2 linked regions of the Rhinolophus ferrumequinum genome follow. The protein of the gene in region 2 interacts with the protein of the main gene of each other region in a pairwise test. Links are inferred from orthologs where the notes say so. Each region holds a gene or a part of one and is shown on either strand. Other genes may lie near its edges.

The links.
Region 1: the proteins of CIB3 (region 2) and TACC3 interact in binary tests that used the Homo sapiens proteins (3 or more experiments, as listed by UniProt). The two-hybrid records come from large-scale screens. The link is inferred for Rhinolophus ferrumequinum from reciprocal best matches to the Homo sapiens genes CIB3 and TACC3.

What each region holds. Positions count from the first base shown.
Region 1 is NC_046288.1:87,242,407-87,249,826, forward strand, and holds the start of TACC3 (transforming acidic coiled-coil-containing protein 3), read right to left. Parts: upstream 3,009-7,420; 5' UTR 2,876-3,008; intron 1,380-2,875; exon of another isoform or gene 1,319-1,379; 5' UTR 1,318-1,318; coding exon 1,156-1,317; intron 1,014-1,155; coding exon 874-1,013; intron 1-873. Other genes in the region: TMEM129 (E3 ubiquitin-protein ligase TM129), read left to right, coding at 3,246-3,783, 5,320-5,794, 6,469-6,628, 6,760-7,008. UniProt on the Homo sapiens protein: Plays a role in the microtubule-dependent coupling of the nucleus and the centrosome. Involved in the processes that regulate centrosome-mediated interkinetic nuclear migration (INM) of neural progenitors.
Region 2 is NC_046301.1:49,780,204-49,787,119, reverse strand, and holds the start of CIB3 (calcium and integrin-binding family member 3), read left to right. Parts: upstream 1-3,894; 5' UTR 3,895-4,044; coding exon 4,045-4,095; intron 4,096-4,287; coding exon 4,288-4,322; intron 4,323-6,009; coding exon 6,010-6,121; intron 6,122-6,916. Other genes in the region: protein FAM32A, read right to left, coding at 1,669-1,810, 1,913-1,986. UniProt on the Homo sapiens protein: Acts a an auxiliary subunit of the sensory mechanoelectrical transduction (MET) channel in hair cells. Plays a role in regulating hair cell MET channel localization and function.

The sequences.
Region 1 (7,420 bases), on a different chromosome or scaffold from region 2:
CGTCTTGGGTTGTTACAAACAACAATATTTGAATGACTCTAATTTCCTTCAGTTGAATCTCAAAAGGAAAACCACAATAGTGAAGTTGAAAAGTAGCACAGAAACCTGGGGAGAGGAAAAGATTGATTCAAGAAGCTTCCATGGGGAGATGGCAGCAGGGCCTTGTGGGCGTTTTACTTAAGTGAGGAGAAGGATATGTTAGTGATGCTTTGCTTGTACACCTTTCTCTGTACGTCTGAAATCTGTATAAAGGCAAGTTTTGAACAGTTTAAATCTATAGAAGTCAGCTCAAAAGTGTGCCAGTGAGGCCCCTCCCCCCTATCAGCCCACTCTGGGGGTAAAGAGCTGCCTCCAGGACCCTTCTTTCCAAATACCCAAGCCAGACAGTGAATGCCTGGCGAGGCCGCCAAGAAGCTTTTCCTGGTTAAAGTCAAGTGTTCAAAACCCAATCCCTTCGGCCACTTGTATTCTGACCAGATTCCACGACAGACACTCCTCTGTCTCCAAAAGGAACACCTATCTCTACGGCCTGATATTAAGAACATGGGGCAGGGGAGACCCCAGTGGAATGCAAAACAAGAAAACCACAGCATGTCTTTCCTTGGAGACATGGTCAGGACACTTCAGGAAGTTAGAGAAGCAACAACCAAGGCCACTTTGGTGGCAAGGGCATGACAGGGGAGTGGCATCTGAAACAAGCTCACTATCCACCTTTCCACTGACACATGACTTGGTGCCGACTGCTCTGGGCCACGCGCTGCACACACTCAGAGTGAGACCAGGAGAAGCCCCACAGACGTGACAGATAGCCAACAGCGTTTTCCTGCCAAGTCATCAGAGATGTTGCAGTACATCAAGAGCACCGACACTTACTTCTCTTTCTCGGTCCAGACTTGTGAGTTTTCTAATCCAATGGTGTCGCCCACACCAAAGCAAGCCTCGAGTTTGCTGCTCATGCGAGGACTTAGAATCCTGTGTGTCTGTGGGTCTCGCAGAGGTGTCTGAAAAGTCACCTGTTGGGGAGGGCGGAGAGCACCTGTTCAATAGTTCAAGTTTCCAACCACCCCGCTGGCAGTGCTGTGTGCCCCGCCCGCTCAGTAAGTCACCAGGTCCCAAAGTGACACACGGTCGGTCTCATATGGGTAAAACGTTTACCTTCATAGCTTTGGCTATGCTCTTGGGCGGCACATTTTCTTTCTGTGACACACAGAGAACAGAGGATCTTCCGGTAAGTTCCAGTGGTGAAAACAGGAAGTCGCAGTTTTCTGTACTTCTGTCACCAGTGACATTTTCGTCATTGAAGATTTGCAGACTCATTCTGGAAACACAGTTTCTGTCAGCTTGAGGGCTGCGTCGTGCAGACGTGATGACAGCTGACCCTGCAGTGTCACAGGGAGATGCACCCGTCCAGCACAGGAGGGTCACACCTCAGGCAGCGTGTCCTCTACCAGTCCCTGTCCTGCTTTGGGGGACTGTGGCTCTTTAGCTGGGCTGGGGAGCTGCCACCACCCAGGACCAAGAGCTAGAAGGGCCTTCAGCCCACAGGGTAAGGAGGAAGAACGGATTCTCGCACTAAGTCAGATTTGGTGGGTAAGGAGACAGGTAAGTGCTGGCCTGGAGAAACTGCAGGAGAGGAAGGGTGGGGCTCCCCACAGGCCTCCACTCAGGGGGCCGGGGCCTCATCAGGGCTGGAGCAGGTGGCCAAGTCAGCAGAGAACAGAAAAGCAGAAGGGTGCTGAAGCTTGCTCCGTCACCCTCACGGGGCTGGAAAAGGGGGACCAGAAGAAGGTGTCAGGAGGGCAAAGGCCCAGGGGAGGAGTTGGAGGGAACAAGCAGCCACGGGCAGAATTACTCAGCAGGGCATTGAAGACCTTCTATATGAGGTCCTGGAATCTCAGAATCACACCAGGGGCCTCCAGTCAGGCCCACAAGGTTCTAGAACAGCCCACTCTTGCCAGAGTCTTCCACACGGTCACGGCCATGACTCCCAAACTAGGAGCTGCCATAGAGCTGAGCACCGACCTGCTCAAAGAGCACTACCGGAACTTGTTGATGGTGGGGGCCTTGGGGGCTGCTGCAGCACGGGGGCAGCCTGGAAATCAAGGTCAGAGTGGGAGGTGGGCAAGACCAGGGGCCCTGGAGGGAGTAGGAGCGGGGCCCAAGCCGAGGGGCCAGCCCTGGCGTGGCCAGCAGGCCCACCGCACTGTGCAAGAAGAAAGACAGGAGACAAGGGTGACTGAGGTTTCTGGCCGGTGTAACCGGTATAAGTGGGGGGGAGGGGGCAGTACAGCGATGGCGGCCTCTATCAGGGCTTTGGCTTCTACTAACGACAGAGACCGCGGGAGAAGCTCCCGAGCAGAAGCTGCCTGCGTGGAGTGCTGTGGTGGGGAGGGCGCGAGCCCAGGTGTCGCCGTGATGGAAATGGCTCCCAGGTGGGCCGCCCCCAGAGAAGGGAGGCAGGCCAGGCACAGCCGGGAATGAGAAGTCGGGTGGGGGACCAGCAGGGGGCTGCGGGCGGGGCGGAGATGTGCCCTCGCAAGTCGCCGCTACAGGTGGAATTTGAGGCTGGACGAGGTCTCCAGGGGGACGCAGGAGGCCTGCGGCCCGTGCCCTACGGACGACCCTTCTGGAGGGCGACCAGGAGACGAAGTAGCCGGAGAGCGTCGGCCGGGCTGGTGGGATGAGGACCAGGGAGATGTGCCTGGAAGGGCGGCGGCAAGGACGGGCGGCGGGGACCGGGAAGAAGCGGCCGTGCCGGCGGCGGCCCACGAGGAGTAGCCGCGGGAGGGGCCGGAGAGGGAAGTTAGCGACAGGGGTGGGGGTCGGCCAGCGCCCACCTGACGCCAGAGGGACCGGAGGGACTTCGCCGCCTTACCTGCCGGCCGCCGCACGGAGCAGACGGAGCGGGAGGCGCGGAGTCCCGGGTGCGTCCGCCCGCCGCCGATTCAAATACCGACGGTTGGCGCGCGCGGCCAATCAGCTCGCGGCCGTGGGCGGAACGCACGGGGCGCCAGCGGCCAATGGGAGGCCGCGCCGTCGGTTGCGCTTCCGGGGCTAGGGGCACGCTGGGCGAGGCGGGAGTCGGAAAGCCTCCCGGACCTTGGCTCGCCGAGCGGGCGGACGGGCGACGGCTGCAGGCCCCGCCGTCGACCAGAGCTCTCGGGCTCTGCTGCGGACGTGACTGGGTTGAGCGGAAAGGGGGGGCCTGAGCCGCTCGTCCGGGTCTCAGTTTACCCAGCTGTAAAATGGGACCAGGTACAGCTCCGCCCTCAAGGCGGGGCGTGAGGAGGAGCCAAACCCTTGGAGGACTGGCGGGCGGGTTCACAGATTACGCCAGTGTGCGGGGCGGGGGAACTCCATTTCCCGGAGTGCTCCGCGGGGTCTGCGTCTCCCAGAGCGCCCAGCGTTGCCCGGGGCGGTACTCCATTTCCCAGAGCGCCCCGCGGACGGGAACTCCATCTCCCACAGTACCCGGCGCCCATCCCCCGGCGCCTACGGGACCCGGACGCTCGGGCCTGTTCCCCGCGCCGTGGGCGGCGGCCTTGCCCCGACGGCTTGGTGGTGCCGGCGGCGGCGCGATGGACAGTCCCGAGGTCACCTTCACGCTGGCCTACCTGGTGTTCGCCGTGTGCTTCGTGTTCACGCCCACCGAGTTCCACTCGGCCGGGCTCACGGTGCAGAACCTGCTGTCGGGCTGGCTGGGCAGCGAGGATGCCGCCTTCGTGCCCTACCACCTGCGCCGCACGGCTGCCACGCTGCTGTGCCACTCGCTGCTGCCGCTGGGTGAGGCGCCTGATGCTCTTGGTCATTGTTCCCCTGGTGGACGGAGGCAGCTGGCCGGGTCAAGGGCTCGCGTAGCCCAGCCCCAGGGCCCCTGAGGTGGCTGGGTCGCGGGGTCACCTCCCTCTGGGGAATAGTCAGAGAGAATGCCGGGAACACCGGTCGCCCCGAGAGCCGAGGCTGTGGGCCGACTGCCCGTGTGTTTACAGCCGGCGACAGCTGGACGTTTGCAGGTGGCAGAGCCCTAGAGGGGATGTTTCCCCCAGCTGGGGCAGGTCGCCAAATGTTACGTGGGTGGCATTACCCAGGAGAGGAGCACAAATTAACTGATTCCAACACAGGGAGGAGGTGGCCTTGCCCAGGCCATGGAAGGTGGGTGTGGAAAGGGCAGGCAGAGATGGTTGACACCACGTGAAGGTGTCACAGGTGCAGAGACTGGAAAGCCTGTGTTTGGCCAGTATGCTCAGTGGTTATCCAGAGACTGTGCTGGGCGCTGACCCAGGTGCTAGCTGGCCCATGGGAGGCCAGTCTGTCTTCCGGTTGGTCGGGGGACTGGCTAAAGAGTGGGGTACTAGTCAGGATTTCTGGAGGACATGGCAGAAGCAGGTCTGGGACAGCAGGTGGCTGGTGGCCGGCCCCACCTGCAGCCCTGTGGACACAGGGAGTGGTTTTCACCTGGCAGCTGGGCACAGCAGTCCTGCGGACGTGGAGAGCAGCCGGAAGGGGGCTGGGCTGAGGCTGCAAGTGCATGGGGGCTGTCTGTGGGAATCCAGAATTTAGGTGTCTGCATGATTAAGGTGGCCACACATGGAAGAGGTGGTGAAGCCTGGTGGTGCCCAGACACAGGGCTGTTTTTAAATTCATTTTGAAAAGCTTTGAGGCTTCTAGATCGAACACCTATTGCAACTTAACAAATTATCCTAAAAGGTAGTGACTTGACCGACAGCAAACGTTTACTATTAGGTTTGCAATCTCAGACCTGCCTGTGCAGCCGCTCGCTATCTGCTTCATTCATTTATTTGACTTGCAGATGGCCCCCACCTGGCCTGCAGGGGCCCGGGCACTGGCTCCTGTGTTCTTTTGAGGTGCCCCCATCCTTCTCTGCTTACTGTCTGGCACATGATGGGCCAGCTTAGGATAAGCCTCCTCAGAGGGTGTGGGGTCAAGAGGCCAATGGGGGCCAGTGGGCAGCTCTGCAGAGGGTGACACCAGATCCTAGTATTTATTTTGCCTTTCTAGGTTTTTCTAGTTTTCCGTACTCACGTATTGTGTGAAAATTAAAAATGCTTTTCCTTCACTTATTGTGTCAGTGCCATGGGCAAGGGCTGAACCTGGCCAGCCGTGAGACTCACCTGGCCTCGGGTACACAGCCTCACCTTGGGAGCTGACCAGGGCAGAGTGCCAGGCCCAGGGCTGGGGACGCAAGGAAGTGGCCCCCTGGGTGGTGCAGGGGCAGCACTGCAGCTCTTGGTGAGCACCACCAGGGCAGGGCGAGGGCCTGGCATGCGACCTTTGCTGAGGCCGCCCCGTCCCTTGCAGGCTATTACATGGGCATGTGCTTTGCAGCCTCGGAGAAGCGGCTCTACTCCCCTAGCCAGGCCCCTGAGGCCTGGCAGCTCTTCCTCCTGCTGGCGGTGACCCTGCCCACCATCGCCTGCAGCCTCACCTACAACTGGTCCCGGGACCGGTGGGCCCGCCACCCACTGGCCCGCACCCTGGCCCTCTATGCCCTCCCGCAGTCAGGCTGGCGGGCTGTTGCTTCCTCAGTCAACACTGAGTTCCGGCGGATTGATAAGTTTGCCACTGGGGCGCCGGGTGCCCGTGTAATCGTGACGGACACGTGGGTGATGAAAGTGACCACATACCGTGTGCACGTGGCCCAGCAACAGGATGTGCACCTGACTGTGACAGAGTCACAGCAGCATGAGCTGTCACCGGACTCAAACCTGCCTGTGCAGCTCCTCACCATCCGTGTGGCCAGTGCCAGCCCTGCCGTGCAGGCCTTCGACATCAGGTAGGCACACCTGTGGTGGGGCAGGGCGGGCTGGGGCTCACGGGCGGGCGTGTGCCCAGCTTGTGCCCCATTCCGGTGTCTGTGTCCCTCTGGGAGGTGGTGATGGGTGGGAGTGGCTCCTCCAGTGTGACCCTCCCTCAGGGCCCCTCCCTGGCCCCCTGCCCCCCTCTTGCCCCCACAGGTATCCTCCGCTCCCCTTTCATGCACGTTGTCCTCTGAGCTGCTTCCATAGCTTCTCAGGGGAGCACACTGCGACATCTGGGAGCTGGGCAGCACAGGTGTGTTGCTGCCTCACCTGTGGGGCCTGGGCTGGAGCTGAGGTCCTCCATCTCTCAGGCCATGGCTGGCCTGCTGGGCCCCTCCTAGGACACGACTTGGAACCTGCCCAAAGCTCTGTGTCTCAGCGGCAGTCCTCCCACCCTTCCTGTGTCCCGTGGGGGCTAGCATGTGGTGCCGGGTCTGTGGGCTCTGGCCTCAGGGCCATCTTTGCTGGCTGGTTCTCACCAGGAAGGTGGGCTGGGCCTGGGTCCTCATGTTCTATGTGGCTGTGGGCCCCTCCATCACCCTCGGGGCACAGCCTCGGCCTCCCCTATGCCTGCCCCAGGGTCCTGCCAGGCCCCCTGGGAACAGAAGCCTTGGCCCAGCGGACTTAACCCGGCCCCTGCCTCGTGCAGGCTCAACTCCACGGAGTATGGCGAGCTGTGTGAGAAGCTGCGGGCACCCATCCGCAGTGCGGCCCACGTGGTCATCCGCCAGAGCCTCAGTGACCTCTTCCTGGACACGTTTGCCTCCCTGGTGGATGCCAATCCGGCCTACTCGGTCCCCAGCAGCCAGGTGGGGGGCTGGGCGGGGGCGGGTAGTTTCCCATAGCCAGATCCCCACAGGCCAGGTCCCCTGGTTGGGGGGCTGGGGGCCTTATGGGGGTGTCCAGCCAGGCTCCTGTGACCCCCTTGGGCTGCCCGCAGGAACTGGAGGCATGCATCGGCTGCATGCAGACACGTGCCAGTGTTAAGCTGGTGAAGACTTGCCAGGAGGCGGCCGAAGGCGAGTGCCAGCAGTGCTACTGCCGCCCCATGTGGTGTCTCATCTGCATGGGCAAGTGGTTCGCCAGCCGCCAGGACCCGCAACGCCCTGACACCTGGCTGGCCAGCCGCGTGCCCTGCCCCACTTGCCGTGCGCGCTTCTGCATCCTGGACGTGTGTGCCGTGCGCTGAGTTGGCCAGCCCCTGCCAGTGCCCCCACCGCTGCCTCCAGGCCAGGGCTCCCCCAATTGCAGGAGGATGAGGGCTTTCATCCTCTCTACAGAGGAAGTTCTCTGCTGAAGCTCAGGCGGTGGCGATGGACTGGGTCTTCAGCGCTCCTGCTGCCTCCATTTCCCACTCCTCCCGTGCGGGTGGGTGCTTGTCACAGAGAAAACCGCCTTGGGCCTATCTCCGAAGGATTCCAGGGGCCCCTGAGCTGTCTTTTCCCAGATGGCCCTAACCTGGGCCACTTGCCTTAATTTTATGGAGCACGTCTACCTGCTGGTTATATGCCAGACGCAGTTTCGTCCAAGACCAGCCATGATAAGTCCTCCTACTCCTGTTCCCAAGCCGGCTGCTGGCCTCACGGAAGCTGCTCTGAGGA
Region 2 (6,916 bases):
CCTTATACCTTTTCTCTGTCACTGTTGCTCCTCAGAGGAGGTCATCCAGTTCTACAGCAACTCCCCGATGTTTATCTGGGGCTCAGATCTCTCCACTAAACTGCAGATTCAGAAATCAAACGCTCCACGAGAATTCTCCACTTGGATTACTAAAAGGGACCTCAAAGTTGACTTCTCTAAAACCAAGGTCTTGATCCCTCCCTTTAGAAACCTGCTTCACCCACAGTCCTTCCTATCTCAGTAAATGGCACCTTCCTTCACCCAGCTTCTCCTGCCCAAAATCTTGGTCATCCTTGATTCTTCTTTCCCAGCCCACACGCAACACGCAATCCATCAGCTGATCCTGCTGTCCTTCCTTCCAAATCTATCCCAAATTCGATACCTTCCATAGCTTCCACTATTACTGCCCACCTCTAAGAAGCCACTATTAATCGCACTGTAGGTTGCATTAGCCTCTTCCCCACTCCATTCCTGCTCCAGGAGTTATAGCCCAAGCCTGCCTCTGATTATAACTGTGGGAAGGGACTTAAGTACATTCACTTGTTAAATCCTCACCAAAAACTTACGAGGTAGGGACTTAAGCCCCACTTTCCTGATGAAGAAACTGAGGTGTGGGAGCTTAGCCAACTTGCCCAGAGTTACACCACCAAGACTGGAACCCAAAAGACAGTGCTTCTCATCTCTCTCTCTCTCTCTCTCTCTCTCTCTCTGTACTACTGAATTAAGCCTGAGAGCAATAAGTACAATTTTCCCCATGTCACTTGACGGCATCACCCAGACCAAGATTAGAGTTTTTCAGCCTGGTGCTTTGACATTTTGGGTACTGCGTTCTTCCCTGTAGGGGCACTATCTTGAGCACTGCAGAATGTTGAGTAGCATTCTGACCTCCACCCACTAGATGCTAGCAGCTCCCCTCCTGAGTTATGACAAAGAAAAATGTCTCCAAACATTGCCAAATGTCTTCTTGGGAAGGGAAGTAGGGGGACAAAATGGCCCTCAGTTGAGACCTATTAGTCCCTCCCCCCAGCGTAACGGGCCAAGCTTATCTAACGTTGCCCCCTCCTATGCCCCACCACCCACATTTATCGATATTTAGAAAAATAACAGACACTTAAAAACAACATATTTGAATCTGCCAACGAAGTCGTCACGGGAACAGAGTTTGTGGACACTTACAGCAGGGAGCACGACCATTTAACATCAACAGCTAACATCAACTGAGCAATGACTTTATACCAGACCTAGTGACAAATGCTTTACATGCCATCACAAAGCTCCCATTCCTTTTAGGAAAAAGTACGTATCTTGACCCCTACAGATGAGGAAACTGGGGCACGGAAAGAAGATGAGTCACTGGCCCAGTGTCACAGGGCAAAGGAGCGACAAACCCGGTCTCCAGCTCTGGCTCCTTTCAACGCCATCTCTAGCTCTCCCCTCTGCTGTCCCCTCGGGCTGAAGGTCCTTCCCGTTGTCCGAGCTCCCTCAGACGCGGACTCTTCCTCTTGCTCAGCATCTTTCCCCCGGAATTAAGATCATTTCTGACCGCTCGCCCTCCTCCAAGCATCCCGGGACTGTCCCGGTTCCGAGTCTCCGGGCTTTTCCTAAGCACCCACCCCGGAGACCCAGGCCCGCGGCGCGGGGCATCCCCAGCCTTTCCACCCGCCTCACCCGCTTCTCCTGCATCTTCTCGAAGGCCGCCTGGGCCGGGGTCCGCTTGTCCAGACCGCGCCGCTTCTCCTCCTCGTTCTTTTTGCTCGTTCCCATCGCTTCCAGGAGTTTCGCCTGGTCTTTGTCCTTCTTTTTCTTCTTCCTGGGAGGGAAAACAGAAGATGGAGTGAGGGCGGCCAGAGAGCAAGAGCCCGGGGTGTCGGAAAAAGGCTTACGGGGCAGACGATGGGCTTTCGGGACTCACCGCTTGGTCACGCCGACCTCTGCAACGCCTTTCAGCTTCAAGGGCCCCTTTTGGACCTGCTCGTAGGACGCCATGACGCCTGTCTGCAGTTCGCCAGGTAAACTGCCACACTTCCTGTTCACTGTTTCCGGAAGAACGCCTGCCTCCCTTGGTCTTGAGTGGCCCAGCTAGGCGTTGCGCATGCGTCCTTGGCCACACTTCCGGGTTGAGGGCTGAGCCTGCAGAGTCAGGCGCTATGGGCCACTCTGCACCCTGTGCCACACTTCCGGCTTTGGGCCCCACTTATGGTTTCTCCGCTTTTGGGTTCCTCTAGACAATTGAAACCAATTTGACAAACTCCAATTCTTAACACCCAACGCTTTTTTGAGTGTTTTGCATGTATTTGGATAGCCTGTTCTTTTTTATTGCCATATTTTGACGGTTCAATGGTTAATACGCATTTTAATTTGTACTGTTGCCCAAATTGTACCAGGGACTTGGGCAGGGTGGTGGTGGGAAAGGTAGGGGATGAAGGAGGTAGAAAAAGCAAGCATCCCCAAATCTAGACGACACTGGACCAAGGAGGGCTCGGTGCCTGCATTTCCCAGTTCTACCTGCAGGGGGCAGCAAGCGGCTGCCCAATTCTCCAGCCAAAGTCTCACCTTTTAGCATTTCAGAATTGGATGAGAATGCCAACAGAGAACCATGGGGGACTGCCAGCCTGTGCCAGCTTCCTCATGGGTCCATCCATGGTAGAATCAACTCCTCAGAGAGGGACACAGGAGAAACTCAAGTGGAGAAATCTCTTCTCCCCAGCCAACCCAGCAATTTTGGAGCTCGTCTACAGCGCTTCCAAGACTGTGTGCCCTGGAGCAAGTGGCTTGAAGTCTTTGAGCTTCCCTTTCCTCATAAAATGGGGGTGATGAAAACAACAGCTAATACTTTATATGGATTTACATGGATCATCTCATTTACTCTCACAGCCACCTTGTTACATAAACCATCCTGATTTTATTAGAGGAACTGAGGCACAAACTGGAATCCAACCTATGCTGAGTGTTCCATCCCTGCTTTTGTCACGACACTATGAAGCCATCCATCGTAGATGCATCAATATTTTACAAACATTTAAGACAGTATTTCTCAACCTTTTTTTCATTATCAACACCTAAAGAGAACACTTTAACTTAAATTCACTTAATAAGAAAAGTTAAATACTGATGAATAAGATTTTATCAGGGAGGGTAGAGCTTTGAAGGGCCAGAAACCATTGAAATATCTAAGGTTTTCTTGTCCCCACCCTGAACCAATTTTTTGTCTCCTTTGGGGTAATATTACTTCCACTGATAATTAATGTTCTAAGGGGAAATGTCATATGAGGTGTTTCCCATTTGAGGCTATTATGAATAAGACATTCATTACAGGTTTTTGTATGAACATAAATTTTCATTTCTCTGGGACTGCGCAAGAGTGCAAGTGCCGGGTCATATGATAGTTGCATGTTTTGTAATTTTATTTGATTGTGGCAAGAACACTTAACATGAGATCTATTGTCTTCAGAAATTGTTAAGTGTACACTACATTAATGTTGATGACAGGTACAATGTTGTACAAGTTTTTCATCTTGTTTAACTGAAACTTTATGCCCAGTGATTAATAAGTCCAATTTTTTGGTTGCATTAATGCCCTCATTAGATCTCAGAACAACTCTATGAAGTAGGTACAAAAATAATTTCCATCTTACAAAATGAGGCTCAGAGAGGTCAGGTGACTTGCCTGGGGCCACACAGCTAGTGGGTAGAGAACTAGTATTTGAGCTGGAATATGCTTGAAGCCTCTCCACCATAATGCCTGTCTCTGGAAGGTGCCCCCTCCCCCCAAGCCCACCTGGTGATGGCAGATGTGGTCTGAGGCTCTGTGACCTCCCACAGACTTTCTTCTTGCCCTGGTGGCCGTGGACATACTCAGACTGTTGGCCAGAGAGCTTGGCTGTAACTTGAGTCTCACCCAGGCTTGGGGTGATGGGGCGGGTGGGCGGGTGACAGCCAGGGCAGGGAGATTTGCCTAGACACTGGTGCGTGGCAGCCTGGCAACCGTGTGGCCCTGAGGAGCCTGGGGGCTTCAGGAGCCTGTTCCTGGCGGTGGCCTTCATCATGGGCAACAAGCAGACAGTCTTTACTCATGAGCAGCTGGAAGCGTATCAGGTGGGAGTAATGTGTGGGGCAGCTTTGGTTTCCTGGCCTGAGGAATGGGGGCAGCATCCCTTGGTCCTGGGTGGGCAGTCAGCAAGGGTTCCTGGTGCAGCTCTGTGTGTGGCATCGGCAGAGATGAGCAGGGGGAGGTGGGGAGAGGAAGCCCGGGTAGGGGCTGGGCCAAGCCAATGTCTCTCTCCCCAGGACTGTACCTTCTTCACGAGGAAGGAAATCATGAGGTCAGTCTGGGGAGGAAGGGAGGAAGACCCGGAAACAGCTTTCTATACGGTATTGGAGGATGTTTGGAATTTGACAAGGGCCAATGCTTCGTGGCAGTTAGAGAGCTAATGGTCAGTGGACAGAGGCAGAGATGGGGCGGCTGAGAAGCCACATCTGATCTTATTGTCTCGCCTGTAGGCTGACGAGCTTGGATTTTCTCCCAAGGGTGGCAGGGAGTCATGGAGAGTGTGTGAGCAGGGGAGAGACAGGTCAGCATGTTAGAAGGATCCCACCCCCCAGGCCTGTGTGAAGAGGCTGAGACTAGAGGCTGGGGGCACAGCTGCAGAGTCAAGAGGCAGCTCTGGGCTATGGGGTTGACGTCAAGGGGAGGGTACAGGGAGGCGCCCTGAGGCTGTTTCAGGTCCCTGGTGTGAGCGAGACAGACATAAATGGGTATCCCACATCATCACTTGGCCCAGGGAGCCATTGTCCAGAGGCCCTGACCCAGGAACTTGGAGCTGTGAAACCCAAGCTGGCCAGGGTTCGGCTGCAGAGTGATCGGGGCCAAGGGCCCAATTGTGTGGGCAACGGACATCCATTATTGATGGGCACACCTTTCACCAGTGAGCCCCATTGTCTGGGCGAAGACAGCTCGCAGGGTCACCCCGGCTATGATGATCGAATTACTGATGGGGAAACTGAGGCTCAGACAGGGGAGGCTGACCCCAACTCTGCAGATGGGATGAGTCCCAACGAGTTTGAGGGCGGATATTTCGTCTATCCCAAGCTTCTCGCTTGTCAGACAGACTAACTGAGGCTCAAAGGAGAAGAGGGACTTGCTCAAGGCCGTACAGCACCTCAAACTCGGGCTGTCCCTGGAGGGGACCCATCCGGTGGTCAAGACCGGATTCCAGATACTCCCTTCCTTGAGTACCTAGTCACCGTATGACCCAAAGGCTCCTGTCCCCTTCTGAGACAGTCTCTAGCAGCGTGGGGACTTCTCTATTAGGTCATCAAGGAAAATCTCTATTAGGGTGTTGCTCAGGGGCCCAATGAAGGAATGGTGTCACCAGGTGAGTGCATCATAGTTCAGAGCTGGCCTCCCAGTCGAGGTAGTGGGTATGGCATTTGGTGTTTTCCAAAATGCCTTTCAGTTACCCTTTTGAAAAGCCTGAATATTAGCCTTTGTCTCTGCTCTGCCTCATTGAGGGAATCCTGCCTCCCATTATGGAGGGGGAGAGGGAAAATGAGGAGGAGGGTCTTTAAAAACATGGTCTTGCTGACAAAGTGATGACGTCCAGAGATTCATAGGTCGGTTCAGATTCTCTCAATGCTTATTGTGAAATGATCTCGCCCTACGCACTCTCCCTTCTGTCAAGCCCATTTGCCTGGTGAGCTCCTAGTCATGCTTCCAAACCCAGCTCCAATGACCCCTCTTCCAGGAAGTCCTTCATCCTGTCTGGCTTGCTTCTCCGAGTCTGGTGTCCCCAAGCTCTGGGACTGTCTGTCTACCTTGGCTTTGTCCCCAGGGAGATAGAGGTGCCTGTGTGTTGCTCTGTGTGCCTGAAGGCTGGGCCCAGGACTGATGGCTCTTAGGGACCCAATATCCTTCAGTGTGGAGTGAGTAGCTGCAAGAGTGAGAGAAGAGGGACAAGTCCCCTCCCTCCCACCTCCCAGCACTTCCTGGTATTTCCCTCCCTACACTAGGCTCTTCTATCGCTACCAGGACCTGGCCCCCCAGCTTGTCCCCCTCGACTATACCAACTGCCCTGATGTGAAGGTGCCCTACGAGCTCATCGGCAGCATGCCTGAGCTGAAGGTATGGCCGGGTCATGGGGCAGGCAGGGGGAAAACACTAGAATTCCTTTGCTGCATGCCAATGAGGTGCAATGATTCCCATTTTGCAGACGAGAAAACTGAAGTACAGAGAGGTCAAGACACTTGTTCATGGCCATGAAGCCAGAACATGACAGAGACAGGATTCAAACCCTGGGTTGTTGGGAAGATGAGATGAGATCATGCTTAGCACAGGGTTTGTTGTATGGCAAGTACTCAGGGAACGTTAGTTCTTTTCATCGTACGAGCTGCTAATGTTCAACACATGGTTTGAAGGGGACTTGTGGAGTGAGTGACTGTGCCTAGAGATTATTGTATCACAAGGGACAAAAAGCTTACTCAAAAGGGACGCAATGGATTAGATCGCATGAGCAAAAAATCCAGAGGCAGGGCTAGCATCAGGTATGGCTGAAACCAGGGTCTCTGAGAATCTCTTTCCATCTCTCAGCTCCTAGGAAGAGGCCTCATTTTCAGGCAGTGTGTATGGCATTTGAGGTAGTGGATGGAGCCCTCAGAGGCCCCAGGTTTCCTCCTGTCAGCTCTACAACCATCAGAAAGCAGGTCCCTCCATCCCAATTTCTTCAGAAAACCTCCCAGGGCAGCCTCCAATTGGCTAGTTTGAGTCATGTGCCTATCCTAGAGCCAATCACGGTTGCCAGGTAAATGGAAGTCTCTGATTGGCCTCACCCAGGTCTTGTGGCTGCCGCTGCAGATGGAAGTGGGGTCAACACCACCCAGACCACAGGGACAGAGAGTGGAGTTGTCTGAAGTTCTGTCC